2 linked regions of the Astyanax mexicanus genome follow. The main gene of each other region encodes a partner of the protein of the gene in region 2 in a complex. Links are inferred from orthologs where the notes say so. Each region holds a gene or a part of one and is shown on either strand. Other genes may lie near its edges. The genes, in order: cdh26.1 and ctnnd1.

Evidence for each region.
Region 1: ctnnd1 (region 2) and cdh26.1 share a complex: the UniProt entries of both Homo sapiens proteins name them as parts of the cadherin:catenin adhesion complex. The link is inferred for Astyanax mexicanus from reciprocal best matches to the Homo sapiens genes CTNND1 and CDH26.

The regions. Positions count from the first base shown.
Region 1 is NC_064420.1:51,239,526-51,255,321, forward strand, and holds the start of cdh26.1 (cadherin-like protein 26), read right to left. Parts: upstream 8,353-15,796; 5' UTR 8,212-8,352; coding exon 8,179-8,211; intron 1-8,178. UniProt on the Homo sapiens protein: Cadherins are calcium-dependent cell adhesion proteins. They preferentially interact with themselves in a homophilic manner in connecting cells; cadherins may thus contribute to the sorting of heterogeneous cell types.
Region 2 is NC_064414.1:44,245,726-44,261,347, reverse strand, and holds the start of ctnnd1 (catenin delta-1), read right to left. Parts: upstream 6,103-15,622; 5' UTR 5,742-6,102; intron 3,392-5,741; exon of another isoform or gene 3,367-3,391; intron 1-3,366. UniProt on the Homo sapiens protein: Key regulator of cell-cell adhesion that associates with and regulates the cell adhesion properties of both C-, E- and N-cadherins, being critical for their surface stability.

The sequences.
Region 1 (15,796 bases), on a different chromosome or scaffold from region 2:
CTGACATCACTGGACCCAGCAAACAATACATGTTATAGTTATATATAAGATTTATCTAAGCTTAAAATCAGCAACGCAATTATACTAGCACCATGCTTTCATTATAATTTATTTCGTTATATATATTTACTGCAGTCTGGCATTGATGATTCGCTCGGTGTTTCGCTCGGTGATTGGCTCGGTGATTGGCTCGGTGATTGGCCATAATAACTTTTCTTTTAATTGTTGGGGGGGGCAGCAGGGGCAAGGCATTCTTTTAGAGTGGCAGTTGCCACCCTATGCCACCCTGGTAGATCCGCCCATGGCCCTAACTGAGATATTAAAAAATACAAGAATTTTATCAGATTTGTAACAGAAGTCAATGATACTAATAATAATAATGCACTCCAAATATCTCCATATATCCAGGATTAAAGTAAAATAAATGATACTGTACAGTCTAGTAGATATATAATAGGAAATAATGAGAACAGTGTGAATTTTTCTTTTTGATAGAAACAGTAAAAAAAAAATAGAACCCTGATGGAATAATTAAGGATGGGTAATATTTGGCACCATATTTCAGGGTATAATATCCTTCACCACATTAAAACATTTTGGCGATATTATTGAGTATGATATGATATGATTTTCTGCTTGTTATTAAGAAACTGACCATAAAGCACTGAAACTACACATTAAAGTATGGTAATATAGCGCTATTAATTTAGCGCTAGTCCTTTTAGCGCCAGTCCTCTGTTTGGAGTATTAATGGTGTAGCACAACATTCAGTTACCCAGGCCGGGAATTAAACTGCAGGTGAGCTAACCACCACATTGTGTGGGAGACTGCGATTCATACAGTTAATTAATAAAGAAGCTAGACTTACAGGAGGAGTGAGGGACAGGCAGGGTCAGTAACAGTATGGCAGCAAATATAAACAATATACCAGAGCATAGTCAGGCAAAAACAGGGTCATACGCGATAAATCCAGCAAAAAATGGCCTAGTCTGAAACTAAAACAAGTCGGTAACAAAAAGCAATAAACAAAGGAAACTTATTGTAGAAGAGCTAGATAACTAGATTCAATACTCTGTGAGAGAACAGAGCAAACTGAGGGGTATTTGACAGACCAGGTGCAAACAATCAGTAACTGGGGGAGCGAGAACGCCATAGCGTCACATGATCAGCAGAGTCTGGGAAGTCTGGTGTGAGTGCATGCTGGGAAGTGGAGTTTTGTTGTGTAGTTCAGAGTCCAGAGCAGACAGACTAACAGCATCAGGACTGACAATGTGTGTGGGTGTTTATTTATTATTTTAAGTTAAACTGTTTATCACAAATTTAATCTCTCCTGAATCTACAATGAACCAGTTTTTAAACAGGTACACAGCAAAAAGGCAAGTGTTAAATTAACTCCCACAGAGTTAATTTTAACTCTTTTTCAGGGAGTTAAATCAACACTTTCAAAATAGTTAAACATTTAACACCTTGCCAGAGTTCCTTTTTAACTCACATTTGTATTTCTTTAACTTCCTAAATTGTTACACTAACACTGAAAAGAGTTAAAAAAATGATAAATGAGAAGAAGATTAGTATATTAATATGACTTTTTATTATTGAATTATTATTCAGGACAGGTTAGCGTGTAATTTTCCATTGTATTTCTTAGTGCATTACCAACACTTTATCACAATTTACTGTACAAACGATGGTAACTTGCTCTTATAGCCTACAACATATTAGCTAGACAAACAACCATTAAACAAAATATAACACAATACCCAATGGAAGGAGCCCTGGTGGGCAAGATTTCACACTGATGGTAAGTTAAGATCTGGGGGACACACCCATTATGCAAATAACGTGTTTAACTGGGCGGAGTTTAATTAAATCTCTGTGGAGTTGGCCAGTATTTATTGGGTTTAGTGGGATTAACACTGAAATATTCAACTCTGACAAATAACTCCAACACTGAACACCATTTAACACTGAAAGAGTTAAAATTACACTCTCAGCTGTTTAACTCTGAAATTTCAACTCTCCTGTTTTTGCTGTGTATTTTTCTTATCTGTAACTATTAGTTGTGATCGTCAGTAGTGTGTGTAATGTGTGTGTAATGTGTGTGTATATGTGCAGCAGCTTCTAAAGCTCTATCTGAAATAAACCTGAGCTTCTATGCAAAACTAAAGGAAACTGTAGTCAAATTCATACTGGCTACTCCAAACCCTCATCATCAAAACACCAACATCACACAAATCACCACATTTAACCATCTATAACCACGTATTATACACTTACACCAGCGTACACACTACAGCTGCAGCATATCACTATTTTAGTATTCGACTAAATAATCAGACAATTATATTTACGATTAATCACTAATAAAGAAAGTAATCAATTAATTACAGCTGCAGGTTATTTTTATTACAGATTTGGGTTAATGTAGTGTAGTTAGGAGTCCAGCCCAAGGACTCTTATTGGTGTAGAGCAGCATTCAGTCACCCAGACCGGGAATTGAACCCCAGTCCCCCACATGATGTTATCGCTCACTGTTGTGGTGCAGTGGATAACACCACTGCCTGCCAATCACTACAACCACTGTTTTTACCTTCACAGCTAAACTTTAATGGTTCTAAATAGATTCTGTAGAACATTTTAATAGTTATATATAAAATAGTATATAAAATTACAAAGTGTATAATAAGAATCATTCACACAGGCTGGATATTGTTATTTTTTAGGACATTTTATTACACTTAATTAACTGAAATTGTGTTATTTAGTATATTGCAATATATTTTCCAATATATTGCCATATATTATTGTTTGTAAAGGATATTAGTTACAAAGAACTACAAAGTCTGTCAAAATTATTCCTAAATATACCAAATTGTTCAAAATATATCTAAATATTCCCAAATATACTAAATTATTCCTAAATATATAAAATTATTAATATATCTAATTATTCCCAATAATACATGCCGTTTATTGTGAAGTATGAGACCTAATACAGCCATTATTAATCATTTCCACATAACCGACCACTAATAAAGCACCAATAACACTTAATAACACAGAATAAAGCCTAATAAGTAGTGAATAAATAATTTACAAATGTCTAATTAAGGCTTTATTAAGCAAATAATAAGACATTAATAAGTGCCTGATTTGTGTTCCTTAAAATAAAGTGTTACCATATTTATTTATTTATTACTTTTTTATTACTGTAATAATTTTACTGTTTTTCAAATTATAGTCAGTGAATGTCTATTTTCTGGTCTGTTTTCATAAATAAGGCGCATAGGATTATAAAGCGATATTAAGCGGCATTAGTAAGGATTCTAAATTGAAGTGAACAAGGGTGTCGCCATGTTTCTCTTCTAATGGGGAAGCTGGGGGAAGCGCCTAAGTAAACAAAACTGTAATTCTTTAAAATATATATATATATATATATATATATATATATATATATATATATATATATATATATATATATATATATATTTCCTATATTTAAGTTAATTGAGTGCTGGATGTTAATCTACACAGATTTCTCTCCTGGGTGAGTAAACCACCGTTTATTTACAGTAAGCTTAGATTTCTAATGTTTTATATATAAGGGTGAGTTTCAGTGAAGTTTCTCCAGCACTAAGGCTAGGAGCAGCAGCATTAGCATTACATGAGTGTTTCGTAAGCCAGGGTGATATTAGCTGGCGGTTTGTTTGTTTTAACATGGTAAACATGCAAACTACAGTCTGATAGATTCACCTCTGAATGGTGAAAGAGCTAGTGCTTAGCGCTGTGGTTAGCGGCTAATGCTAACGTTGCTCGATCCTTGGTGCTGGAGAACTAAACTGAAACTCCTGTGTAACTCTGTACTTCAGTGGAGTGTCTTTACTGCTCTTTAATACCTGACTGATAGAATTCATACATACATCAACATTTTTATTTATAGTACTTTAGTTTATTTTATTAATATTATTCACTTATTTTATGATTAATATTTTGCTTTGTACTGCGCTCCTGTATTGCATCTGTAATCAGATACCTTCTCCTCTCTCAGTCCGAGTTGCCAGGTTTGAGGATTTCATGCCAAAAAAAAAACATTGTCATGGGTGTAAATTTGAAAGGTCACAGGGTTCATTTTACTTTTCTTTTCACAATTATTTTACCTTCCATATAACCATATAAATGTTCAAATTCAAAGTTATATAGTTGTTACTCTTAATTAATGTTATATCAGGATTTTAATATTAAAATATTTAGTAAAGTGACCTGTAGTATCGCAGTAAGAACAAAATGTGAATCAACTGCTGAGATAATGAGCCCGAGGCTGAATTAAACCCCACATTTTTTTAAGTAAGTAAAGCGCTAAAACTGAGCTTTTAAAATCATTTTTAGGTGAACAGAATGATGTAAATTAACATTGCAACACTGAAGAAGCGTAGACCTGTTATTATTTCATAAAAATGTTTATTAAGAACAGATCTCTTAAAAAGATTAAAACACAAACTATGCAAACAATAATCCACGGGCCTAAACATCAGTAAATTAGAATTAAACTACCGGAGTGATGTCTGAATAAATTTAATCCAATATATTTTTACATGGTTTAAGAATCTAAAATACCTTCTAAACAAACTAACTTTTTTATATTAAGCTTTATAAAGCCTTAAAGTGCAAAAACACAAAAAAACAGCAAAATATCTTTACACTGCACAATCATTAACTCTAAGCTAATATAATTTAACAAGGTTTAAAAATATAAAATACTTTCTACACAAGCAAATGTTTTATTTTAAGCATATATCCTAAGTGTGAAAACACACTGCGCAGAGAGAGCTGTGTGATTTTCTTAACTTCTGCAACTTTTATTTAAAACACAGTTTGATTTGTTACTTTACTATATTGTGATTATTACACCATAGTTTTATATAAACTAAAAATAGCATTAAAACAGACGGCCTACATCACAGATTATTTTCTCGACCCGAGAAAGGTGGTGGGATTAACGGTCAGGCATTAAATTGGGCTCGCCCTAGTGAAATAAAAGTAGGTTAAAATATACTAAGCATTATTATGCTATGGTGAACTAAAGTGTTCGTGTAGACACATAATTTTTAATCAGTATATTTAAAGAGTGCTAAAATGAAACAGCTTTTTTAGTACATATTATAATTTAATTACAGTATAAAAATAAAACAAAAGTCTTACTTAAATTGTGCTAAGTGTACTTAACTGTACTAAAATGGAACTACAGTATTTTACATATAGTTAAGTAATATTTAAACTACGTCATGTATGTAACCCATACCTGTCAAGTTTTAGATTTAAAAATAAGGGATATTTTCCTCTGTCCGCTTAAAGTCGTCCCACCAGCCCAACGAAGGTTCAGTATCCCTTACATTTTAAAACAGGTTTACAAAAAATCTAAAATAAACACATGTGAACCACTTACACACAACAATTAGATAATCAGAATCTGAACATGTTGTGGACATTCCTACATATGTCATTCTTTTAATACAGCCAAATTAAAAACCCTTTTCTATATATTTTTTTTTTATTTAAGATTTCATGTCTTTTTTGTAATAAATGCACTCTTTTATATGATATATGTTTTATTTATTTAATGGATTTAAAATGGATTTAAAACATTCTGCAAAATGACTGTTGGTGACCTAAAAATGGTATTATGAGCTTTTACTAAAAGGACATGGACCAGATATATTCCATCAGTAAAAATTAGTCCTAAGGGGCCTACACAATTAATAATTTTTAATTAATACTTCTTCCTTTTGATCACTCCACCCCTGATCAGTTCAGTTAATGTCGGTTCTCTCCACATTTCTAGTTAAACTGAGTCACAAGCTGTAATTTTTTTTATTTTAAAAGGTTTAATCTGTGTGTTTTATTTCGGAGTATTTTTAAGCAGCTATCAGAAAAATCTCATCACAGTTTCCATGATTAGACTACCGTTACCTTTCTTTTAGAAAAATCGCTGCATGTATGTTTTAACATCAGCTGCTCCAACTAGCTGCCTGAACTCACAGCGAGGAGGGCGGGGCTTCCCCACACTGACCCTCCTTGCAAGCTGATTGGCTGTTTCTCCTGAAAGGCGGGACTTTCTCCTTGAACCGGCTCCACGATTGGTTAAGAGACACAGAGCGGTCAGTGCCCTGTCTCCTTAATAATATATATATTTTTATTGTAATATAATACGGGAAATTTACGGGAAAATACTAATACGGGAGGACGGCGGGAAAGAGGAGTAAAATACGGTAGTTTCCCGGCCAAAACGGGAGACTTGACAGGTATGATGTAACCCCATATTTTAAATATGCTTACAGTAAAATTATAATACATTTAATTATTAGAGTATTACAACTGTATCACTCTTTATTATAAACCAGGTATATTAGATTAGACATGTACTAAGAATTAATGTTAAATACATGTGATATATTTACATTAGAGTACAAATATACATGCTTCTTGTTTCTGTCTTTTGTAAGAATCACACTTCTAGTATACTTCATTTTGTATAAAAATATATTTTAATATACTGTACTACAATTTTTAGCGTCTTACAAATTACACTGTATCCTCTAGTTATACTTATACTTATATTTTTCTAATTATAATTACAGATCATTGAAATACACTTTAACTGTTATATTAATTAAATATCTAAATATATATTTTTTAAAATGTACCAATGTAGTAATTTAATTTACTTTCTAAAAACTTACATGACACATTGTACTTTAAGTGAACTACTGTAACAGTTGTTACATTTGATGAAAGCATAATATTAATGTACTTTTAATATATTTAACAAAGTACATAAATATGTTAGTATATTTACAGCATACTTAGACATTTCTAAACATGTTTTAACTACAATTAAGTATATATATATTTTTTTAAACCAGGGCAGAGTATCAGTGTTCAGTAATGGGTCTGGGATCTAATGGGTTAAATATATTTAACGTGTATGTGTATTCGTTAGGTAAAAATATATTTTAATATACTGTATTACAATTTTTAGCATGTTACAAATTTACTTTACTTTATTTAACACTGTATCCTATAATTTATTGTACTTGTCTTTTCCTAATTATATTTACAGAGCATTCAAATACACTTTAACTGTTATATTAATGTAATACCTAAATATATATATTTTATAATTTATCAATGTAGTAATTTAACTTACTTTCTAAAAAGTTACATGATACATTATATTTTAAGTAACCTGCTGTAACAGTTGTTACATTTGAAAATATTAATGTACTTTTAATATATTTTTTCGTAAAGTACATAAACCTGTTAGTATATTTACAGCATACTTAGACATTTCTTAATATGTTTTAAGTACAATTAAGTATATAGTATCAGTGTTCAGTAATGGGTCTAGACTCTAATTGGTTAAATATATTTAAAGTGTATGTGTGCAGGCCTGCAGTGTGCAGGTATTACTGATATTATCTGTCATTTATCTGTTATTCTGCTCTTTGATGTGTCATCCTGGTGTCTGTTTTTCTGATTAGATCTAACAGATTCTCTGAGGATGAATCATTATCAGTCAGTGGAACGGCTGCAGGTTTATACACCTGCCCAGGAGGCAGGATTATACAAAATATATAAAATACAGTATATACCCAGTTATTTATACTGTATATCATCACAAAATAACTAAATAAAACCCCAATAAATTAATCTAAATGCAGTTTTATTGGAGAGAAGCAGTAATAATAGTAGTATTATTTATGACAAATTATTTTTTTGAAAGTGTTAAATTTTAAAAAGAAGCAAAATGATCTGAAAATAGAATAAGGCACTTTTAGTAGTAAGTAAATAAACAGTAAGCTTATCATTAATAATATATAATAAGTCTTATATAATAATATCTATGAGAAATGTGATATTTAAACTACAGCTAAGTGAATTTAAGAAAATCAGAATCAGTTTTTGCTGTGTGGAGCTTCTTACAGTCTGATATATTTACTCTGTATTTAACAGGATTTTACTCGCTCTAATGTTTTATTTAGCGCTGTGGTTAAGAGCTGATCCTTCAGACATTGGACATATATTATAAATATATTGTAAATATATGATAAATATATTGTAAATATATCACAAATAAATTGTAAATATATCTTAAATATATTGTAAATATATTGTACTCACTGTCAGAAGGAGGAAAATGAAGGTAATCCTCATCCTGAAGATCCGAGAGACTCAATAATCCACAACCTTCAGCTGAACCAGATCTTTAAAGATCAATTCCAACCTCTGCTCTCTCGACCTCTTTCTGTTTCTCTCTCTCTCTCTCTCTCTCTCTCTCTCTCTCTATCGCTGTCTCTCTCCCTCACTCTCTTTCTCCCCCTCGCTCTCTCACTCTATCTCTCTCTCTCTCTCTCTTTCTGTTGGTAATGTAAATGTGAGAGTGGAGAACACCTGAGGGGACAGGTGTGGGAGTGGCCTGTTTGACATGCTCTACTGGAGAAAAGAGAAATACTCCTCTTCTATCGTTCTTCTCCTCCACCCCCTTCTCTTCCTCCTCCTCCTCCTCTTCTCCTCTTCTCTTTAATTAAGGGTCAGGTTTCAGGTGAGCAGGAACAGGACGGTCAGGTGAGGTACGGCAGAAATACTGAACGTTAATTCTGCTTCTGAAGATTTTCACCAGGTTCACTATTACACACACAGTATGTAAATATATGGTACCAGGAGCCAATGGAGAATGGTGTATTTTTCACACTGGATTTTAAGACACATTATGCAACACTAGTAAGGAACATGGGTTCCGCTAGACCTGTAAAACCTGTAAAAAACTGTAGTTCTGAAAAAAGGTAAACAAGTGAATTAAGTAAAGTTTACTAAAAGAAAGGATTGATTCAATAAAAATAAATGAAGTAAAGTTTACTAAAAGAAAGGATTGATTCAGTAAAAATAAATGAAGTAAAGTTTACTAAAAGAAAGGATTGATTCAGTAAAAATAAATGAAGTAAAGTTTACTAAAAGAAAGGATTGATTCAGTAAAATAAATGAAGTAAAGTTTAATAAAAGAAAGGATTGATTCAGTAAAATAAATGAAGTTAAGTTTACTAAAAGAAAGGATTGAATCAGTAAAAATAAATGAGTAAAGTTTACTAAAAGAAAGGATTGATTAGTAAAAATAAATGAAGTTTACTAAAAGAAAGGATTGATTCAGTAAAAATAAATGAAGTAAAGTTTACTAAAAGAAAGGATTGATTAGTAAAAATAAATGAAGTTTACTAAAAGAAAGGATTGAATCAGTAAAAATAAATGAAGTAAAGTTTACTAAAAGAAAGGATTGACTGAAGTTCAGTTCTCTTATTTACTCTGTGTAACTCTATTTAAGTCTTGAAACCGAGTTGAAGTTACTTAAATTTATCTGAAATTAAATTTACTTAAAAAAAGCAAATGCAGAAAGTTGTGAAAAATTTTTTTAAGTAAATTTTACTCATGGTTTTTTCAGTGTTCTGGCTGGAGGTTGAAGGTGTGGAGAGTATGGAGAGTACAATGTTTCTGTATCTGTGATTGTGCAGAAAGTCCTGCGACAAAAACATACCAACATACAACATAAATATATGTCCTGTGGCTCATTGTAAAATGTGTAAAGAAGAGATTACTAAGGACCCCCAGTGAGGAAGTATGTGATTGGATAAGAAAGTGATAGCACCTGTGAAGGAAGTGTGATCAGGCTTAAGGGGAAGTGGACCTGTGTTCTTCACCACATCACCAACGTTCACCAGTGACCAGGTGTGAGCGTCCTCCATACAGCTCTGAAGAACAGAGCAGGAGGCGGCACCACTTTAATATAAGACCACCTTTATAAAGGGTTTATAAAGGGTTTATAAATGGTTTATAAATGGTTTGTAAATTAGATTATTACTTATTATTGATTAGGTTGTAAATGCCTTAAAAACCATTGATAATCAGTTAAAACACATCAATTAAAAAAGCAACAGTGGCAACTTACTCATTTAATTTATAGTAAATAGTAAAACATACATATAAATATATTAATATTACAGGTTTAATGCTGATTGATGGAAAACACAAAGTAAAATCAGTATCTAGGATAGGGGTGTCCAAACTTTTTTTGTTGGGGGCCAGAAGGAGAAATATATTTGAAGTCACGGACCACAGACTCTGTAATAAAACAAATAATGAAATATACCACTTTAAATAATACTTTTTCCTGATTATTTCATTTACACACCATTTTACTTGATTTACTATCTTTATCTTTGACAGTGTTGTGTAAACTAAGATTTTTCAAATTGATGTTTCATTTCATGATGTCTCTTAATATTTAACTCCTTAATTACGGCAACTTTTAGACTCTTTGCCCTGTTTTTCTGCGCAAGAAATGCGCACTCTCTCCGCTTTTAGACTCTTTGGCCCGTTTTTCTGCGCAAGAAATGCGCACTCTCTCCGCTTTTAGATTCCTTGGCCCGTTTTTCTGCGCAAGAAATGTGCACTCTTTCCGCTTTTAGACTCTTTTGCCCCAATTTTCTGCGCTAGAAATGCGCACTCTCTCCGCTTTTAGACTCTTTTGCCCCAATTTTCTGCGCTAGAAATGCGCACTCTCTCCGCTTTTAGACTCTTTGGCCCGTTTTTTTTGCGCTAGAAATGCGCACTCTCTCCGCTTTTAGACTCTTTGGCCCGTTTTTCTGCGCTAGAAATGCGCACTCTCTCCACTTTTAGACTCTTTGGCCCGTTTTTCTGCGCTAGAAATGCGCACTCTCTCCGCTTTTAGACTCTTTGGCCTGTTTTTCTGCGCTAGAAATGCGCACTCTCTCCGCTTTTAGATTCTTTGGCCCGTTTTTCTGCGCTAGAAATGCGCACTCTCTCCACTTTTAGACTCTTTGGCCTGTTTTTCTGCGCTAGAAATGCGCACTCTCTCCACTTTTAGACTCTTTGGCCCGTTTTTCTGCGCTAGAAATGCGCACTCTCTCCGCTTTTAGACTCTTTGGCCTGTTTTTCTGCGCTAGAAATGCGCACTCTCTCCACTTTTAGACTCTTTGGCCCGTTTTTCTGCGCTAGAAATGCGCACTCTCTCCGCTTTTAGATTCTTTGGCCCGTTTTTCTGCGCTAGAAATGCGCACCCTCTCCGCTTTTAGACTCTTTGGCCCGTTTCTGACACCTAGCGTTCAAACTTTGAATCTCACATTATAAAACCTGCTTAACAGCGGGACAACTTTCATTCTATTTCTAAAATACCTCGTGGGCCGCTCCAAAAAAGGAAACGGGCCACAAATGTCCCGCGGGCCGTAGTTTGGACACCCCTGATCTAGAAGGATATGATTTTTAACAGTATAAATGAGAGTGGAATCATTATTTTGCTATTTTATTATAATTTTCAGCTCACTGTTGCCATTTCTATTTATGTGTTTATATATTAATTAACTGCTTATCAATGGGTTTTAAAGGATTTGCAACCTACTTAATAACCATTACTAAACTTGTTTATAAACCCTTCATAAACCCTTTATAAAGGTAGTCTTGTTTTAAAGTGTTTCCCATGATGTGTAAAATAGCTAGCTAAAGAGCTAACGCTAGCCATGTTAAGATAGCTAGTTAAGATAACATAGCTAGCATTAGCTATTTAGCTAGCTATCTGAACGTAGCTAGCATTATTCACTTCTAAGAACTAACGCTAAGAGCTAATGCTAGCTAAAGAGCTAATGCTAGCCATGTTAAGATAGCTAGTTAAGATAACATAGCTAGCATTAGCTATTTAGCTAGCTATCTTAACATAGCTAGCATTATTTACTTATAAGAGCTAACGTTAAGAGCCAATGCTAGCTAAAGAGCTAACCCTAGCCATGTTAAGATAGCTAGCCAACGCTAGCCAGCTAGCTAACGCTAACTGGAGAAGAGAAGCTAAATAGCCGGCCTTCTTACTTCCAAACTGAACTGCTTATCAACCAAACAGCGCCTGGATGGTTTAATATCCACTTAAATCATCTACATATTAACCAACCAAATTAAAAAAAAAACAACCATAAATATATTATAATTTAGTGTGTAAACATTTTAGATGAGAAATTGCCCCCTCAAATAAATTCCATCATATTACGCCAGTGTGTCTTTGCTATCGTAACGACGGGAAAAGTATACCTTGCGTGCCTTGAAAAGCAAAGCAAAAGTCATGTCACTAATTCTCTTAATTAATGATGGGTGTGGTTAATTAATTTTGGGCGTAATGTGAAAGAATAAACCAATCAGAGTGTCTCTTGTTCATCATTCTCTTTAAGAGTAGATCAGGTGAGCTCTGACTTTGGCGGATTGCTATTGTAACGGTGCAGCTACCTGGATGTGTCCAACAAACTCTTCTCAGCAGAGGAAACTGAGCTGCTGGTTGATGCTGTGAAGGAGCTCCAGCAGCTCATTTACGGGAACAGCAATGTTATTTTATTTACTATTCTGTTTATTGTTGATGTAAAAGTTAGATTTGTGCACTGCTGCGTGTTGCCAAGATAGCGATGAACGTCTGACTGTTGGCGTCTGTCTAGGTTGTATTCAGTCAGTGGAGCTCCTGTGTTTTCTGTTACCAAGATAAACAAGCAAAACTCCTGTTTAAAGCTCTGTTACTATTTAAACCAGGCAGGAGGAAGATAAGAGTGATGATAGAGTGAAAGTGAGAGTGAAAGAAAGTAGTGATTTCTTCTGCTTTGTATAAAAACTCTTCCCCTGTTCTCTGTTTCTACAGTAGTGAATATCGGTGGTGATTGAGGTTAATCACTGTAATAACATTAATCTCAGTAGTGCTTCATCAGCAGCTCCTCTCTCATCACTCTGATCTTTACATTATTCCTGAGATCATCTCAAAGAAAACATCAGACCATCAGTCCGAGTAAAAAAACTGAACTGACAGTTCACACAGATCACAGTTCTGATCACAGATCTGCTGTAAAACAGGTGAAGACAGATCTTTATTCCTCTAAAATCAACATAAAATAACATATATATCTCCTACCGGGTAAATCCATCAGCTCCTCCCTCTGTTATAATAAAGCTCTGCTCTGGGCGGGGCAGAATGACGGAGGGGTTTATTCTGAGTGGTTCAGTGTTTTTACTTTATTTTATAATGTTCTGTATTGTAGATTAATACTAAACTCATCCAAACCATACCAGAATATGTTTTATTATATTTTAGATTCTATAAAGTATCTCCTCTTGTTTAGATGATCAGTTTTGAACATCTCTGCTGGATTTTCTCAGTCAGCTTTATGAGGTAGAGTCTCCTGGAATTCAGGCTTTCAGTTAACAGCTGTGCTGAACTCATCAAGAGTTAATTACTTGAATTTCTTGTCTCTTAATAAAGTGTTTGAGAGCATCAGTTAAAGTAAAGTAGTGAAGAGGTAGAGTTACAGGTATACAGTGAATAGTGAATATTTGAGTAATGTTCGAATCCAGGTTATGAGAAGAAACAACTAGATAGATAGATCATAACAGGGTACAAGAAATACTCACAAGAAATGCACACACAAAATAAACAAAAGAAATACACACACGAAATATACACACAAAATACACAGACAGAATACACAGACAAAATATACACACGAAATATACACACACGAAATACGTAGACAAAATATACACATGAAATACATAGACAAAATATACACACGAAATATACACACAAAATACACAGACAGAATACACAGACAAAATATACACAAGATATACACACACGAAATACGTAGACAAAATATACACACGAAATACATAGATAAAATATACACACGAAATATACACACACAAAATATACACAGACAAAATACATACAAGAAATATACACATGAAATACACACAAGAAACGGATGGTAAAAAATACAATATACAAGTATCCAAAGAGAAAAGGCTCAGTATTATTGCATATATATTTACTCAACTAAATAAAGAAAAAATACTTTAAGAATAGAAATGAAGGTCAGTCAATCTGGAAAAAAAAAGAATTTCAAGATCTTTGAAAAGGTTTCCTCAAGTGCAGAAGCCACAAAGACCATCAAAAACATTATTGTATGGTATTGATGATGTTGATGATGATGATGATGATGATGTTGATTATTTACTATGTATTTTCATATTGTGTTTTATTTATTTATTTTTTTTTTATGCAATGTAAAGCGTCTTTGAGTATCCTGAAAAGCGCTATAAAAATAAAATGTATTATTATTATTATTATTATTATTATAAAGATGAAACTGGCACTCATCAGGACCGTCACAGGATTGGAAAGAAAGAGCGAGAGTTTCCTCTGTTGTACAGGATACGTTATTCAGAGTTACCTGCCACAGAAACTGATATATTTGATGAGTATTTTGGTTTGTTTAACACTGTTTTTAAGTTACTACATGATTCCTTATGTGTTCCATTACAGTCTGAAAGATCACTTTACTATTCATTTACTATGAATGAAATGTATTTTATATATATTGAATGTATTTTACTGATCTGGGGTGGGTTTCCCGAAAACGATCAATCTTAGCGAATAACGAACGAACTAACGAATGACGTGAGTAAAGAACGAGCCAGTTCTGCGAGTGTTTCCCAAAGAGCTTCGCAAAGCGGAAATTAACGAACGAGGTTTAAGAGCGTCTTTGTTGACTCCTCCCCCAAAACAGCGCACTCAATCGATCCACAAATATCGATTCAACACTGCCAATATGCAGTATTTATTCACTATTACACCCTAAAAACGTAGAAATGTGTTGTAATCATCAATATTATACATATTCTGAAATTTAAATTACAAAAGGATTTACTTTGGCATTAATAAAATACTCCTAAAGATACATATGACTAAATAAATAATAAAAAATCTAATATGTATATATATATATTAGGGGTGTCACGATCTCGATATTTTATCGAAATCGAATCGAAATGAGGTCATGGTCTCGAGTATCGAAGTCAAAAAGAGGATCGACGATCCCTCCCGCGCGCGCTACGCAAATAGCGCAGCGCGCTACGCAAATGGCGCGGCACCAACACAGCGCATCCTATTCATTTAAATAGAGATAGCCACTGCATGAGCGCAGCCCCGCCCTCAGTTCTGCTGTGTGAGAGACAGCTGCCTTTCAACCACGGAGGAGAAACTGAAAACGGATTTATAGAAATATAGACAGGGCTCTCAAGTTTTGAGTGTCGGCGGGAGTGTGATCACTGTTTTTTATCTGTCCAACGGGGGAGGGGGGGCGGGGGTTGGGCGCGCAGGTTTTGTATCTGTATCTAACGGAGGGGTGGGTGCGCGCAGGTGAGAGCGTGTGAACTCGCTGAAATGCGTGTGTCAGTGTGACTTGAGAACACTGACTATAGATCACAGTGAGGTGGATTAAAAATCTTAAACTTATAATTGACTACACCTGTTGCTTTCCATTGAATTAAAAAAACATCTTTCTCTCAGATAAAGTAAACACAAGCGTGTTTCTGACTAAAATAAAAGCTTTTCAGGAGAGATATAAGTTATGTGTAAATATTTATAAGACAATACCTGACAAAATCTGTTTTAATGACGTTAATAAACATCACTGTGACAGCGCTAACCACAGTTTCACCACATCACTTATCTAACCAGCCTGTACTGATTTCTGCCCCCCAATAACGCTTTCAATAACCTCTAATAGCCTTTAATAGTCTTCAGTAGCCTTTAAAAGACTTACCTGGCGGCCGTGGTGTGTCCACTAAACTCCGTAGTTATAAACATCCTGAGGTTAGCAGCGCGCTAACTGACCTGTTTATAATGTAATCCGAGCAGTGCCTCCGT
Region 2 (15,622 bases):
TTACCCTCAGCCCTAAACTGAACCGTTTTGGCCAGTCGGGGTAAACATTAGAAACGAACACGTTTCGAATCGGCCAGTGCACCGGTCTGCTGAGAACTACTTGCCAGTGGTCACAAAATCTAGCGGTCACAGAAAACAGTGCAACACACGGTTGTGGTGTATGGGAGCTTATCCATTTTTAGCGTTATAGATCTAAACAACGTGCTGTACATGTAAGTGATTATAAGTGTGGGGTTTGGTTTAGTAGGCTTGTGTTGTTGTTGTTGTTGTTATTATATATAAATATAGTAATTTATCGTTTGCTTTAAAACGTAAAATAATTATTTAAATATGTTTCTCAATGAATAGATTAGTCGACTAATCGAAAAAAATAATCGTTAGAATAATCGTTTAAAAAATAATCGTTAGGGACAGCCCTACTGTTAAGTAAATAGCACAATGTGTGTACATTCACAACATCACCAGATTATTTTCTTAAAGTTTTCCCTTCTTAAATGACTAAGTTTTTTTATTCACCACCCCTACTGAAACCAAAACTCAACACTAGTACATGATATTCTTCCAGTGATACTGCAAGTAAGAATCAAAAGCCCATTGATACTGCTCTGAGCACTCGAAAAAGCCTGACAAATGCCATCACTGTGACGTCGACAAAACAAATCTCAGTTATGACTGAGACCAGCACAGATACAGAAACAGCAGCATTAACACTAAGCCATATTAGGCCAAACTAATTCAATTTGCATGGGTGCTTAATCGTGTGTGTCTCTGCTAATGGGATAGCTGAGGTATTAGACTGTTAAGCCACTTAACATCCACAATCTACACACCTACTGCAAACACTCAGAGCAGATCTAGACGAAACCCAGATCATGCCTCAACGGTATGGCTGATGAAGTGATAAAGATGCCGCTTTCACCTATGACCATGTGCAAGACCCTGACAAAAAAAAAGGGCAAACAAGTGGCGCTTACTGCATACCACTGAACACAGATGTACCAGCCAGTCATCTGAGATGCTCATATATCACGAAGAGAGACTTTCTGAGACAACAGCTGTTAACTTCTAGGCTGAATTTGTGGATTAACGAGGAACAAAAATTAGGGGATTGAACATTAAGGTATTTAAACACGTGGTAAGAAGCTAACTTCTGTTCACTAAGACAGGCAGATGGAGAAAAGTTAGTAGACCATGCACTGCAAACAGTTTGCTAAACCAGACCAGACTTGAACAGAAAATCTTAAGATCTTAAGAAAAATAGTATTAGAGTAAACAGACCACGTAGTAATAAGAATTACAAATACAGAATGTGATTAAAAAATGCTGCAGCTATTGGATACAGCGCTCAAGAAAAAAAAAAGTCTCAAAGCAGTTTCTTTACAATACTACCTCCCACACTGCGCAAAGTAATAAGCAATATCAAAAAAATTTACCTGCATTTACTGAGTCCTATCACAGCGCATGGCATTTTGCAATTGTGCCCAAAAGATGTGTCGCAGTTATACCTTAAGCTGGCAGAACAAATTAACTCTGGTGTGCTAGTGGGATAATAATGACTTCCCACAATTCTTCATACACGCAGTGCATGTTCATGCCATTGGTATTGTAAAGCTGGACAATCCATGAGGGTCCCCCATGCTTGCTGACTCAGGTTAAAACTGAATGTGAAAAGCCGATCCCTCCGTTTTGGCCTGACTCCAAACTAACGCCTCTGTGAACTTTGAGACCACACATACTTCCAACCCTCCTACAAGCAAAACTAATGTCACACACATTCATACGAGTTGTTGAGTAACTTTGACATACCAGAAGTTGAGACATTTAGAGCTTCTGGGAGGTTTGTTAGTCAATCGAATGCATCCTTTGGTAAACAATATATAGTCCATAAATCTGGATTCTTTAATAAAGTGCTTTGACACTAATTGGACTGAAGCGGCTATGACAGAAAACGTTAGATTAATCATTAACATGATTAACAATTTTACTCTTTAATCCCTTCATGCATATCTTTCTGTAAAACCAACTTTCTCCTCATAAGTGCAAAACTCTGTTTAGTTTCTCATTAACTACTCCAACTATGACACAATTCAACAAAAATATAAAAACAGTTAAGTAAAATTTTGATTCTCTTAGTTTAATAAAACTGATGAGTTTACTTTACTTTTAATATATTTACATATGTCTTGTTTGTATTCTTAGTAGCTATTCTTATACCTAGTGGTGTAGGAAGAGACATTTAAATAAGAATTGCAGTGCTGGGAGGTTAATTAAATTATTGTTTTAACGTGACTTTTAAAATTAAAAAAAAAAAAACTTTTAAAAAATATTTATATGTAGAAGCTGCCAGAGGGAATTTCAGTAGATAGGCTTGTGCGTCTGTCAGAAACCAGTAAAGAACTTTTTTTTTAATGTAATTTTGATTTTGTGCACTTTTCCTTAACTGAAATACAAGGAGGTTATGTTGGCACTGTGTTTAATATTTAGGTTGAATGTAAATTTGACAGGGCTGCTTACTAAAGACCACTGCAGTCATGAATCATTCTCTAGTCCCCATATGTCCATATTTAGGGTTTCGTGTCTAAGCTGCATTTTCTATGGTCGAAATGGAATTCTAAATCACTATTTAACTTAGTTAAGGAATATCAAGATTTTTTTACAGTATTACCCAGCCCTACATTTTTTATAATAATAATTTGATTGTGGTGAGTAGTGTTGAATCTCTTAAATTAATGGGAATGTTTTAAGACTCTTAGCCCTTTAACATATCTTTACATTCTGAAAACTTCAAGGGCTTTGAAATCTCCTACAGGACACAGAGAATGTGTGAAATCAACCCAAAATCTATATGTTCGAAAACAGATCTAAAAACTAGACCAACTAAACTAAAGGTTTGGAAGACATGAACTGTTTGAATTGTACTCAGGAAGATATTGATTTTAAAATGAATTTCAGGAAAAATACAATTTTATAGTTGTATTAATTATATTTTGAAATTAGCAGATTTTCTTAAATATATGTTTTTTTATTTTATATTACAATTACGCTTCTCGGTAATGTTCCTTATCAAACATGAAAACTTTTTAAGTAGTGCTTAAATAGAAATCCTCAAGATTTAGTGGTGTAATGTCAGGCAGACAACTGACAAAAATTCAGGCCTGTTAAGAGGTTAAAATCTTCAGGGGCTCTGTAAGAAAGAATACACCATTTAATCCTAAAGTTTTGGAACAGATCTACCTTTTGTTTGGGAGCTGAAGGTGAAATTGGTTAGCCATTCAGCCATTAGCCTTTACCTGAGGCGCTAACGCGCCAGCCGATGACGCAGCCCTTTTTAAACGAAACTCCAAATTGAAAAAGCAACCGGTTTACCTGTAGGAGTTCCCTCAGGCTAAAACGGTGGTTTGTCCGATATCTTTGTGCTTTATTAGCTGTTTAAAAGCCATGTATTTTTACTGTACACGGTTTTTGTGAATCCACACAGTCTGTGGTGACTGCCGGGCAGAGACGTGTATTTTAAAACTACTCAACCCCCTTCCGTGTTTGACGGACACACCCTTGTAACAGTAAACCCGGTCATTACACCGTTTCAGAAAAAAAGAAATGGAGGAAACTACAGACTACGTCTTTCAAAAAGAGCACTCCATCTTATTCACAACATTTCTTCAGAACTAGCGTTTTTAAACTTAATTCAGAACAACTGAGGCGTGTGAAGGTGTTGTACAGTAGTGTTGGTTAGCTAGAAAAACATGGCGTGTACTAACATGCCCTTCCCTCTCTCAGCCACAGGTCAAGGTAGACACACCCGCAGGCCACTCAGAGGGGGGGAATCAAACATTTTTCCTTTTAAGTCGTGAAAACTGCATACACACACTCTCTCACACACAACCCATCTCCAGTGACTCATGCTAAATATATCAGCCAAGTCAGACGAACCGTAAAATCAGTGAGCTTGTAGCTAGTCACTGACCACTCACTCCACACGCTGACTGGCTGTTTTACACTGTATTGTGTGTAAATGCAAGAAAAGACGGTCTACAAAGAAAAAAAAACACACACACACACACACACACACTGAACCACGCCTGTCCCTTCCCCCACAAACACACACACACACCCATTCACCAGCACCTACTCAACAGGTTCTCACAAACTTCACACTCTCCCAACACTGTCCGTGCAAATTACACACAAAGTAATCTACATCACAATCACAGTTTTCACCTCATCACCAAAAAACAATGCAACTTTACTGATAATAAACAATAAACCAAGGCGTGTTTACTCCTCACTGAATCCCAAAAGAATCTAAAAGTAAAAAAAAAAAAAAAAAAAAAATCACAGGTAACATCTCCAACCAAGACAAGATCACATCTGCAACCCTTAACCTAGCAAACTACCTTGCTGAATAAGGACCTACAGGTAACTTATTCAGCACCAAAAAGGAGCTATATTTTGAAAGAAACAAACCAAATATTTTTTAACAGGTGCTCCCGAGTTGCAGTGATTTGAGACTTTTACTTGCAGATTCTGCAAGTAAAAAATCTGATATCATTACAGGTTAAAAAATATAGGCATCATATAAAGCTAGAAATTGTAGTAGCACTACTCCGCATTACAGATATCTCGTTTTCACTAGTACTAAAACTAGGTTAGAACTATATTACTGGGCTAGGTTACATCACTTGTATAATTTTATTAGGCTAAAACTACTTGTCATGGGTAACTACTACACTGCTGAGGATTCCCCTCATACAGTTACACGCCGGGTGATCAAGTGTTCATTTACAAGCCATACATAAAATGTCCCAGTATCAAAGCTGTGTGTTTAACATAGCTATTAGTAAGCTTTTGCTGGAAATGCAGAGTATGACTACTAATTTTTAGAGTATAGATACGCTAGAAGGAAATGTAGGCATTCATTATCTTGAAACACAATAATAGGTAAGTTCAATAAAAAGAGCACATTTAATCCTAAATAAACAGATAACTTATAACAGCCAAGCTAAATATTTAATACAAATTTAGGCAAAACACTAAAATAAAAAATAAACAGCTCGGTTTCTGGTTAGCAAGCTAAATAACTCCCTGTTTTCAGTAAATACAAGTTAACTACGTTCACGGCCACAATATTAACTACACGAATTATTGAAGAAAAACTTAATTAGTAAAATAAACTATCCAAATATGTTGTAAATAAAGGTTAGTTAAATGTAAGTCAATAAGTTAGCCTTAAGCTAGCTAGCTATTAACCGAGCTATAATAAGTTATCCCATAGGTTAGCTAGTTAACACTAACCAACAGTATGAGTCGAATGTATTTGTCTCGACAGGTCTAATAGCTACGCAAGTTTATAGCTAACGTGTAAAATCCACAATAATTCACTTTAAAATAAGTAACTACATTATCAACAAATCATATCGCTAGCTGTTAGCTTTAACTTTCAGCTTCATCTTCACACCTAGCTAGCGGCAAATGTGAGTCGTGGCTGTCCGTGAGACGCTATTGCTAGCGGTAGCTCGGCTAGATAACAAACCTGCTAGCGCTATGCTAACACCACTAGCATGCTAACCTGAGTGCTAAAGCGTTAGCACGCTAGCTAACTAGCTTAGCATAGCCAACTTCCAAGTTTTCCTAACTAACAAAAGCGAGCAGGGCTTTTGTGTAAACACGCGCGATTTGAGAAAAACACAACCGTTTCTATTAACATAACGACTGGAGAAAAATAAGCAGTTTCGAAAGTCTACCTTTGTGTTTTTTGTGCAAGTCCGATGGTGTGGTTGCGGTCTCGGCCTATCGAAACAGGCTCCAGATACTGTGATTTTTTTCCAAGCGCTGGGAAGTCACCGTAATCCCAAACTGGTCTAAATTTGGGCGTTTCAGCCCGTGCGCACTGCCACCAACGCGGATCTTCTCTGTTCGCCTTTCACTTTACGTTAACTCTATCGAACCCATTCAAACAGATGTAAAGAAGGTGGGAAATCCGTAGGCCGGAGTGGATTTATAAAAATCTGGCAGTCCTTTCATAAAAAAGCCCACCTAGCTATCTACCCGTCCTCCTCCTCCTCCTCGCCTTGTTCACTCCTCTTTCCTCGTTCCCCAGTTTCGCCCCTGACCCTCCTGCCCCTCCCCTGCGCAGCCGGAGCCGCGCGCATTACAGAGCAGGGCGGGGCGGGGCTGGGCGGGGAGTTCAGCGCCCGCTGGAGAACCGCACTCACTGTTCCTGCTCCTTCCGGGATTTAAAACATGTTATAAACCTTACAAACACCCGCGTTTTATTCGTTTAAACGATATTTTTGTGTTTTTCGCGTCTGATAAACACATAAGGCGGGGCGGGAAACAGTTCGTCACACCCCCAGTGTGGTTTTCATCACGTGGACAGCGGTTTTGGACACAAATCCCATGAAAAGCATAGGCGCTTCAGACCTGAACAAACAGTGCGAGAGCGCCACCTCACGATCAATAACAGGAGGCGCAGACTGTCAGTGTTTATTTCCACGTTAATTTTTAACCTCCCTCTGGCCATTAAAAGTATGCACACTGTGCTTTTAACAACTATATGTATACTGCATTATATTAAAAAATGAACATTAAATGCCAGGTATAACAACCAAACTTACTAAGGCATGGGAACGAGATAACTCATTCCCACAGTTTAGTGATCTAATTTCCACAACAAGTCGTGGCCATGCATTATTTTATTTATTTTTACATGATACCATCTTAGAGGCCTTGATACAGTTAAATTACCTCTGTTCTAATGGTACAAAAACCAGGTTTAAGCACTTCAACTTTATGGTTAAATGGTGGGGCCAATCTACTATTAGTGACATAAGTAGATGTATTTATATTAAATTACCTATATCAGTGAATTCCAACATCTTTTTTTCAGTTAGTTTCTGCATGTGGACTGAATTGTCCACTGTCCACAACAAAAATAGTTTAGGTGTGCTGATCGGGTAAAGACAGGAATCATTTTAATGCATAAACTCATATTTATACATTTAACATTGCTATCTTTCAAATACCTTGCCAGATGTTCTCAATTCTAGAATATATTAAATAAAAGGGAAAAAAACACTTAATATAAAAAATATATAAAAAAATGTATGTATTTATAATTTATGTATTTTTTTATTTAATTGTTTATTTTTGGTTTTATGAAGCTCCTTCTTCCTTTTTTCATTCTTCTTCTTCTTGTGAGTAGTAGTAGTAGTAGTAGTATTTGTCAATCATGCTTACTGTGTATTTATGCATTATTGTTTGCACATTTTTGTAAAAGAAAAAAACATGCTGTTTAAAAGCATGTTGTAAACAAGCCAGCCTCCCTGTGTGTGTGTGTGTCTGTGCATTGCATGAGATTGTATCTGTCTGAGTACTGAAATAACTCTGTGTGATCTCAGAGCAAACTTCATGTGACTGTCAGAAGCTGTGTGTGTGAGTGCGTGTGTGTGACCCCTGCCAGGAAACGTAGTTCCTCTTTTACTCAACTATTACCTAGTTTTTTTTTTCAACATCAAAGCCGCTCTTAGTTATTCAGTTTACTGCATTACCACTGATATGTTGCAATGAGGATCCATTATTAGGAATAAATCTTATTGTGTGAATAATTAATACTTCCCAAAGACCTCCGGACTGCATATATGGGAAGCTACTGAGCTGTAGTGCTGACTACAGCCTACTGAGCACAGCATGAAGAAACTTTAAACTGGTAAAGAACTTTTATATTAAATTGTTTTACATAAAGATTCTTTAGACACTTTAAAGTTTTATTTTTGCATACATACACCTTTATCACAAGCAGGGTTTATTAAGGGACCATAAAAGATTATTCTATGTCATTGCTCAAAAAAACACTCTTTTTGAAGAGTGTAGTTATAGGCAGCAGTTCAAAAAATCCAAAAAATAATTTTTTTTTCTCACGAAAAACAGATGCACAGTGATGCAGAGTAAAACCAGAAGCATATACATTTCAACAGCTAATTGCATAAAAAACAGCATTGGACAGGTTTAACAGATTTGGTCAATATGTTTTTGTACATTAAAAGTGCAGAAAATCACTGCTTTTTGTTTAATATGGTTTTGTGATGCACAACTTTATAATGACTGATTATTTTTTTCTTCCATTTTCTTCTTATTTTTCTGAAAGACATTTCCTAGAGATATTGACGCTGTCCCAACTCCAGATTGTTAAGTCTGAGGGACTGCAAAGACCATCTTGAGTACTTACATTACCTTCTGGTTTGAGAGACCGTAGAGTGGATAGTGAGGACAGCTGAGAAGATCATTGGTGTCTCATCGGCATCTACAGCACAAGCTGCATTCGCAAAGCCACCAGCATTTTGGATGACCACACCCATTCCTCACACAGACTCTTTTCACTGCTGCCATCTGGCAGAAGATACCGGAGCACCTGAGCCATCACTGCCAGACCCTACAACAGCTTCATACCCCTTGTAATGGAAAAATGTGTTGGGTTATTTACTGTATTTTATTCTGTTGTTCAATGTTTTTTTATTTCTTTACTTGTTTATGTGTGCTGTACTTGTTCTTGGGTAAAAAGAAAAAAAAAACAATAAATAGATATTTACAAAGAAAGTCCATTTATCTCAGCAATGAGTGTTTTTACCGGAAAAAAGCACCACATATGATTTAAACAGATGTAAATAAACATACATACAGTAAAATGTAACAAGAAATTCTAATTTTTAGCTAAGTATGGTATGTCCTGTGAGCCAAGCTGAAGAACAAAGTGTAGTTCCAGATTTCTCCTGGATGTTCCTCAGTTAGCAAGTGTATATGTTCAGTTCCGTCAGCAGCTCACCTAATTTACCAAACCTGTGGTTGATATGATGAGAACCAGAAATAACTATTAAACTCAAATGAGGAGAGATTAGGAAATGTTTTAAGGACAACAGGGCTTTAAAAGCTCTGCTTTTTGTAAAATTGCTGTTTGTATTTATTGTAATGCTTTAGTGAGATATTGAACACTTACTTCACAGATAAGCTTTCCTTTACTGATATTCCCAAACTTTTGCACAATACTGTATATATTGTTATAAGTTAAAATGTGGGATATTTAAATCTGATTGACTTATTGCAATGTAACATTTATTTTACTTCTTTATTGATAGCTTTATTTATTTTTATTTTAGTGCTTATAACACTCATGCTTATTTACTATTTGGTGTGCTACCAGCAAATATTTTTGGTTTGTGTTACAGAAGTGAGGGGATGGACGTAAGTGCAGAATTTAATTAATTTTATTAAATTAATAAAAACTAAAACAAATTAACAAACAAACAAAATAAACCAAAGTTACACTGAATACATAACTACAAAACACTAAACTTGAAAACAGGAATCTAAGAAACAGCATGAAACAAACCTGAACACGGACAGCAAACAAACCAACAAAAGACTAGACAAAGAAGGCTTGAAACAAAGGGGCTTATATACATGAGGAGGGAACAAGAAACTGGAAACACCTGAGGATCAATCAAGAGGGGGCGGGGTTACAAATAACTAATGACAGGGTGGGGCTAGGGCGGAGACAGGACCAAAACACAACAGAAGCACATGGCTGGGAAACATGACAGGTAAACAGAGGGGCAGGAGCACAAGAGACCAAATGAGGGAGAAACACAAGGCAGACATGGGCTAAGCTGTGACATAACTCCCCCTCAACGACACCACTACCAGAGGCGCAGAGAGAGGGAACAGAGAACAAGACGACAGAACTAGGACGAAGGAACTCATGACAAAACAGGAGACTGGACTATGAATGGTAACAAAGACTGGACAGGGGGCTGAGACTGGACAGGGGACAAGGACTGGACAGGGGGCTGAGACTGGACAGGGGACAAGGACTGGACAAAAGACTGGACAGGGGGCTGAGACTGGACAGGGGACAAGGACTGGACAAAAGACTGGACAGGGGGCTGAGACTGGACAGGGGACAAGGACTGGACAAAAGACTGGACAGGGGGCTGAGACTGGACAGGGGACAAGGACTGGACAAAAGACTGGACAGGGGGCTGAGACTGGACAGGGGACAAGGACTGGACAAAAGACTGGACAGGGGGCTGAGACTGGACAGGGGACAAGGACTGGACAAAAGACTGGACAGGGGGCTGAGACTGGACAGGGGACAAGGACTGGACAAAAGACTGGACAGGGGGCTGAGACTGGACAGGGGACAAGGACTGGACAAAAGACTGGACAGGGGGCTGAGACTGGACAGGGGACAAGGACTGGACAAAAGACTGGACAGGGGGCTGAGACTGGACAGGGGGCTGAGACTGGACAGGGGGCTGAGACTGGACAGGGGACAAGGACTGGACAGGGGGCTGAGACTGGACAGGGGACAAGGACTGGACAAAAGACTGGACAGGGGGCTGAGACTGGACAGGGGACAAGGACTGGACAAAAGACTGGACAGGGGGCTGAGACTGGACAGGGGACAAGGACTGGACAAAAGACTGGACAGGGGACAAGGACTGGACAGGGGGCTGAGACTGGACAGGGGACAAGGACTGGACAGGGGGCTGAGACTGGACAGGGGGCTGAGACTGGACAGGGGGCTGAGACTGGACAGGGGACAAGGACTGGACAGGGGACAAGGACTGGACAGGGGGCTGAGACTGGACAGGGGACAAGGACTGGACAGGGGGCTGAGACTGGACAGGGGACAAGGACTGGACAGGGGGCTGAGACTGGACAGGGGACAAGGACTGGACAGGGGCTGAGACTGGACAGGGGGCTGAGACTGGACAGGGGACAAGGACTGGACAGGGGACAAGGACTGGACAGGGGGCTGAGACTGGACAGGGGACAAGGACTGGACAAAGGACTGGACAGGGGGCTGAGACTGGACAGGGGACAAGGACTGGACAGGGGCTGAGACTGGACAGGGGACAAGGACTGGACAGGGGACAAGGACTGGACAGGGGGCTGAGACTGGACAGGGGACAAGGACTGGACAAAAGACTGGACAGGGGGCTGAGACTGGACAGGGGACAAGGACTGGACAAAAGACTGGACAGGGGGCTGAGACTGGACAGGGGACAAGGACTGGACAAAAGACTGGACAGGGGGCTGAGACTGGACAGGGGACAAGGACTGGACAAAAGACTGGACAGGGGGCTGAGACTGGACAGGGGACAAGGACTGGACAAAAGACTGGACAGGGGGCTGAGACTGGACAGGGGACAAGGACTGGACAAAAGACTGGACAGGGGGCTGAGACTGGACAGGGGACAAGGACTGGACAAAAGACTGGACAGGGGGCTGAGACTGGACAGGGGACAAGGACTGGACAAAAGACTGGACAGGGGGCTGAGACTGGACAGGGGACAAGGACTGGACAAAAGACTGGACAGGGGGCTGAGACTGGACAGGGGACAAGGACTGGACAAAAGACTGGACAGGGGGCTGAGACTGGACAGGGGACAAGGACTGGACAAAAGACTGGACAGGGGGCTGAGACTGGACAGGGGACAAGGACTGGACAAAAGACTGGACAGGGGGCTGAGACTGGACAGGGGACAAGGACTAGACAAAAGACTGGACAGGGGGCTGAGACTGGACAGGGGACATGGACAGGACAAAGGGCTGAGACTGGACAGAGGAGTGGACACTAGACTGGACAGGGGGCTGGACACTACACAGGGAACTGGGACTGGACAAGGGGTTGAAACAGACTGGACAGTGGCCGGGAACTGGGACTGGACAAGACTGGGCAGGGGAACTGGGACAAACACACTTACTGGGACTGACACGAATATGGTGATAGGGACGGGAATAGAAAAACCACTGGGGACAGGAATGGGAACAAACACAGACACGGGGACCAGGACAGGGAGAGACATGGGTACAAACACACACATAGACTGGAGCCCAGGACTGGTGAAGTTCAAAGTCTGCGGAACCAGCCTGGGCAGAGTTCGAGGGGTTGAAGCAGGAGATCTTGGAGCAGGTCTGGAAGCACACGACCTGGGGGTGTGCTTAGTTCTGGGAGCAGGCACAAGGGCGGCCGGAGCCGCGGGCACAGGGTCAGAGGCGGCCGGAGCCGCGGGCACAGGGTCAGAGGCGGCCGGAGCCGCGGGCACAGGGTCAGAGGCGGCCGGAGCCGCGGGCACAGGGTCAGAGGCAGTGGGTACCACATGGGCGGCAGTCACTGCAGTCACAGGAGCAGGAGCGGCGGGCACCGCTGGCACTGGAGCTGAAGCAGTGGGTACCACGTGGGTGGCAGGCACTGCAGAAACAGGAGCAGGAGCGGCGGGCACCGCTGGCACTGGAGCTGAAGCAGTGGGTACCACGTGGGTGGCAGGCACTGCAGAAACAGGAGCGGCGGGCACCGCTGGCACTGGAGCTGAAGCAGTGGGTACCACGTGGGTGGCAGGCACTGCAGACACAGGAGCAGGAGCGGAGGCTGTAGCAGCGGGAGCTGCTGGTGCTGGAGCTGGAGCTGAGGCTGTAGCAGCGGGAGCTGCTGGTGCTGGAGCTGAGGCTGTAGCAGCAGGAGCTGCTGGTGCTGGAGCTGAGGCTGTAGCAGCGGGTGCAGCTTGGGCAGGCGCGGCGGGTGCAGCTTGGGCAGGCGCGGCGGGTGCAGCTTGGGCAGGCGCGGCGGGTGCAGCTTGGGCAGGCGCGGCGGGTGCAGCTTGGGCAGGCGCGGCGGGTGCAGCTTGGGCAGGCGCGGCGGGTGCAGCTTGGGCAGGCGCGGCGGGTGCAGCTTGGGCAGGCGCGGCGGGTGCAGCTTGGGCAGCGCTGAAGCAGAGGCGGCGGGTGCTGCTGGAGCTGGGGAGGATGGACCACGCACTTGGGAAGCCTGGAACAGGTATTCATCCAGTTCAAGCAGTCTTTCGAAGGTACTCCTCCCCCAAACTCTGCCCACCTCTGCGAAGATATTCTGCTACGTCCATATTTTTGGGTCTAGTCTTATGTTACAGAAGTGAGGGGATGGACAGAATATAATTAATTTTATTAAATTAATAAAAACTAAAACAAATTAACAAACAAACAAAATAAACCAAAGTTACACTGAATACATAACTACAAAACACTAAACTTGAAAACAAGAATCTAAGAAACAGCATGAAACAAACCTGAACACAGACAGCAAACAAAGCAACAAAAGACTAGACAAAGAAGGCTTGAAACAAAGGGGCTTATATACATGAGGAGGGAACAAGAAACTGGAAACACCTGAGGATCAATCAAGAGGGGGCGGGGTTACAAATCACTAATGACAGGGTGGGGCTAGGGCGGAGACAGGACCAAAACACAACAGAAGCACATGGCTGGGAAACATGACAGGTAAACAGAGGGGCAGGAGCACAAGAGACCAAATGAGGGAGAAACACAAGGCAGACATGGGCTAAGCTGTGACAGTTTGTTTGATAGAGATTGATTAATGTGCTATTTTCATGTAAATTGCAATTACTTTGTAACCAATAAACATTAAAAAATACATGTATATGTTGTTTGTATGTTTATCCTATTGACTGTACTGTGGTCTTGCAGTGTATAAGGGACATCTAAATAATAACCATGTAAATAATAACCATCAGTCTCTTCAACTTTTCTTTGTTTGGCCGGAAGAGAAAGGAGAGCAGCTGATGTTAGATCAGAGGTTAATCTTTTATCTGCACTATTGACACTTTACTGTATACTCTGCACTTCTGGACACTTGACAATTTACTAAAAAGCTATATATTATCTATCTACATGTTCCTTGTCAGAATTTTATAATCAACCAATGCCTATTAGGTAGTGTTAAAGGTTGTTTTAACACTTTCAGACCTGAATTATGTTTCAGTGATGGAAAAATATAAGTGGTGTTTTCTGTCTGTAATAATCAGAGATTGTAAAAAAAGATGGACGCCGTGTCGCCGTTCCCATTCATTCAATGAAAATGAAGCCAAAATCTTCCGCCATGTTGGCGATCCTGACACCCGATTCTGCGCAGTAGAGTCCAGAGGAGGGAGAAAGGCTGTGGAGAGACAGCCTACTCATTTAAATAAACCCTCCCCTGAGGGCTGCCTCCCGGTCACAGACTGCAGAGCGGGGCGGAGCGGAGCTGATGGTCTGTTATTGGTCCCGCCCATAACCAGCCGTTTTACAATAACCACACCTTTTTTGAATAGAGCTGAATAACATTTTAAAAAACGAATTCTGTGGGGATATAAAAATTTGACAATATAAGCAGATGTTACACTAGCTGTTGCATTTAAATAAAGGAGGTAGAATTACAGTATATTAGAAAAAAACGTGATTGAAAGTCTGTTTTGCCATTGAAACCTATGGGGATGGGTGGGGTTACACAGCTTTCTGAAACCGAACAGCAGGGGGCGCCCGACCTGTGGTGGCTTCACTTTTGAGAGACGATGCTCTGTCCAGCTATATACAGTCTACGGTAATAATGCACACAAAATAGTATAAAATCTATATTAAAACAAATCAAATTGACCAAAACTTTGTATTCCTAAACATGATAAAACATGATCTAAATCACTTATTTTGTCCTGAAGTGCTGACATGCCCTAATGTCTGAGTTGCTGATTATTTTTCTCCCAGTGCAGTGGGCGGGGCTAAGCTACTGTTTCATTGGCTGGTTTATGATCTATTCTGATGGACAACAGGTTTCAATTAGCGTTCTGTGCAACAAAGCAATTGAAAAAAGAAAGTGCATGGTATCCATTGTAATTGATAAAGAGTCTGAAAGGGTTAAGCTAGTTTGTCCATCATCAACCTTAAAAGATTTAAAGCAACCAAAAATGAAAGTTTATTCAATGTTCTTTGGAAGAAGTCTATTGGGAATTAAAGAAAGAGTGGATTCCTTATTCATTTTGTCCAATAGAAAGAAAGATAGCCTTTATATATACCTAAAGCCGATGTAAACTAAAACAATGTAAACCAGCTTCAGACACACAAAAGAATAAGCAGCTGTCGTGAACGTGCGCGCGCGCCCTCCTCCTGCGCGTGCATGTCTGCAGCGGGAGCGCGCTTCATTCAGGTTCTTCAGCGGCTGGATCGCCGGGCAGTAAATCAGAGATGCGCACTGTAAGTGTTTGATCTGCGTTCTGCATTATCACTGAGAGATGAACTCGTTATAAACGCTGTACAGACCGGCAGCAGGGCATGGCAATAGTGATGGTGATGATAGTGATAGTGATCAGCCTGAAGCAGCCTGAAATCCACCACACTGTCCTGTAGTATAGCTCTATTTAACTCACACTACAGAGACCAGTGAGGCTGGGGTTATTAAATTGGTGGGATTTCCGAGCTGCAGTGGAATATAACGCGATGAGCCACGCTGTCGTGTACTTCATATCCCCTATCAGAGGGGGAGTGGAGCACGCTGATAGTGTCGTGTTGCCTTTTACGTTGTATTCATCGATGAGGAAGCCTGTTGGGCAGAGAGATTACAGAAGGCAGACGTGGTAATCTGGATTAGGGCTCACCAGGGAGAGCATGTGTCCAGGCTGACTGTCCACAGCCCTGAATAAAGTCCCACATATTACATCTTTTTGGACATTTGTAATCTGTAATAATATGATGAGGGGCTGGGATTTTGCTTCACTGGAAGTTTAGATCATGCAGTATATCTAAGATAGACTACTCACAC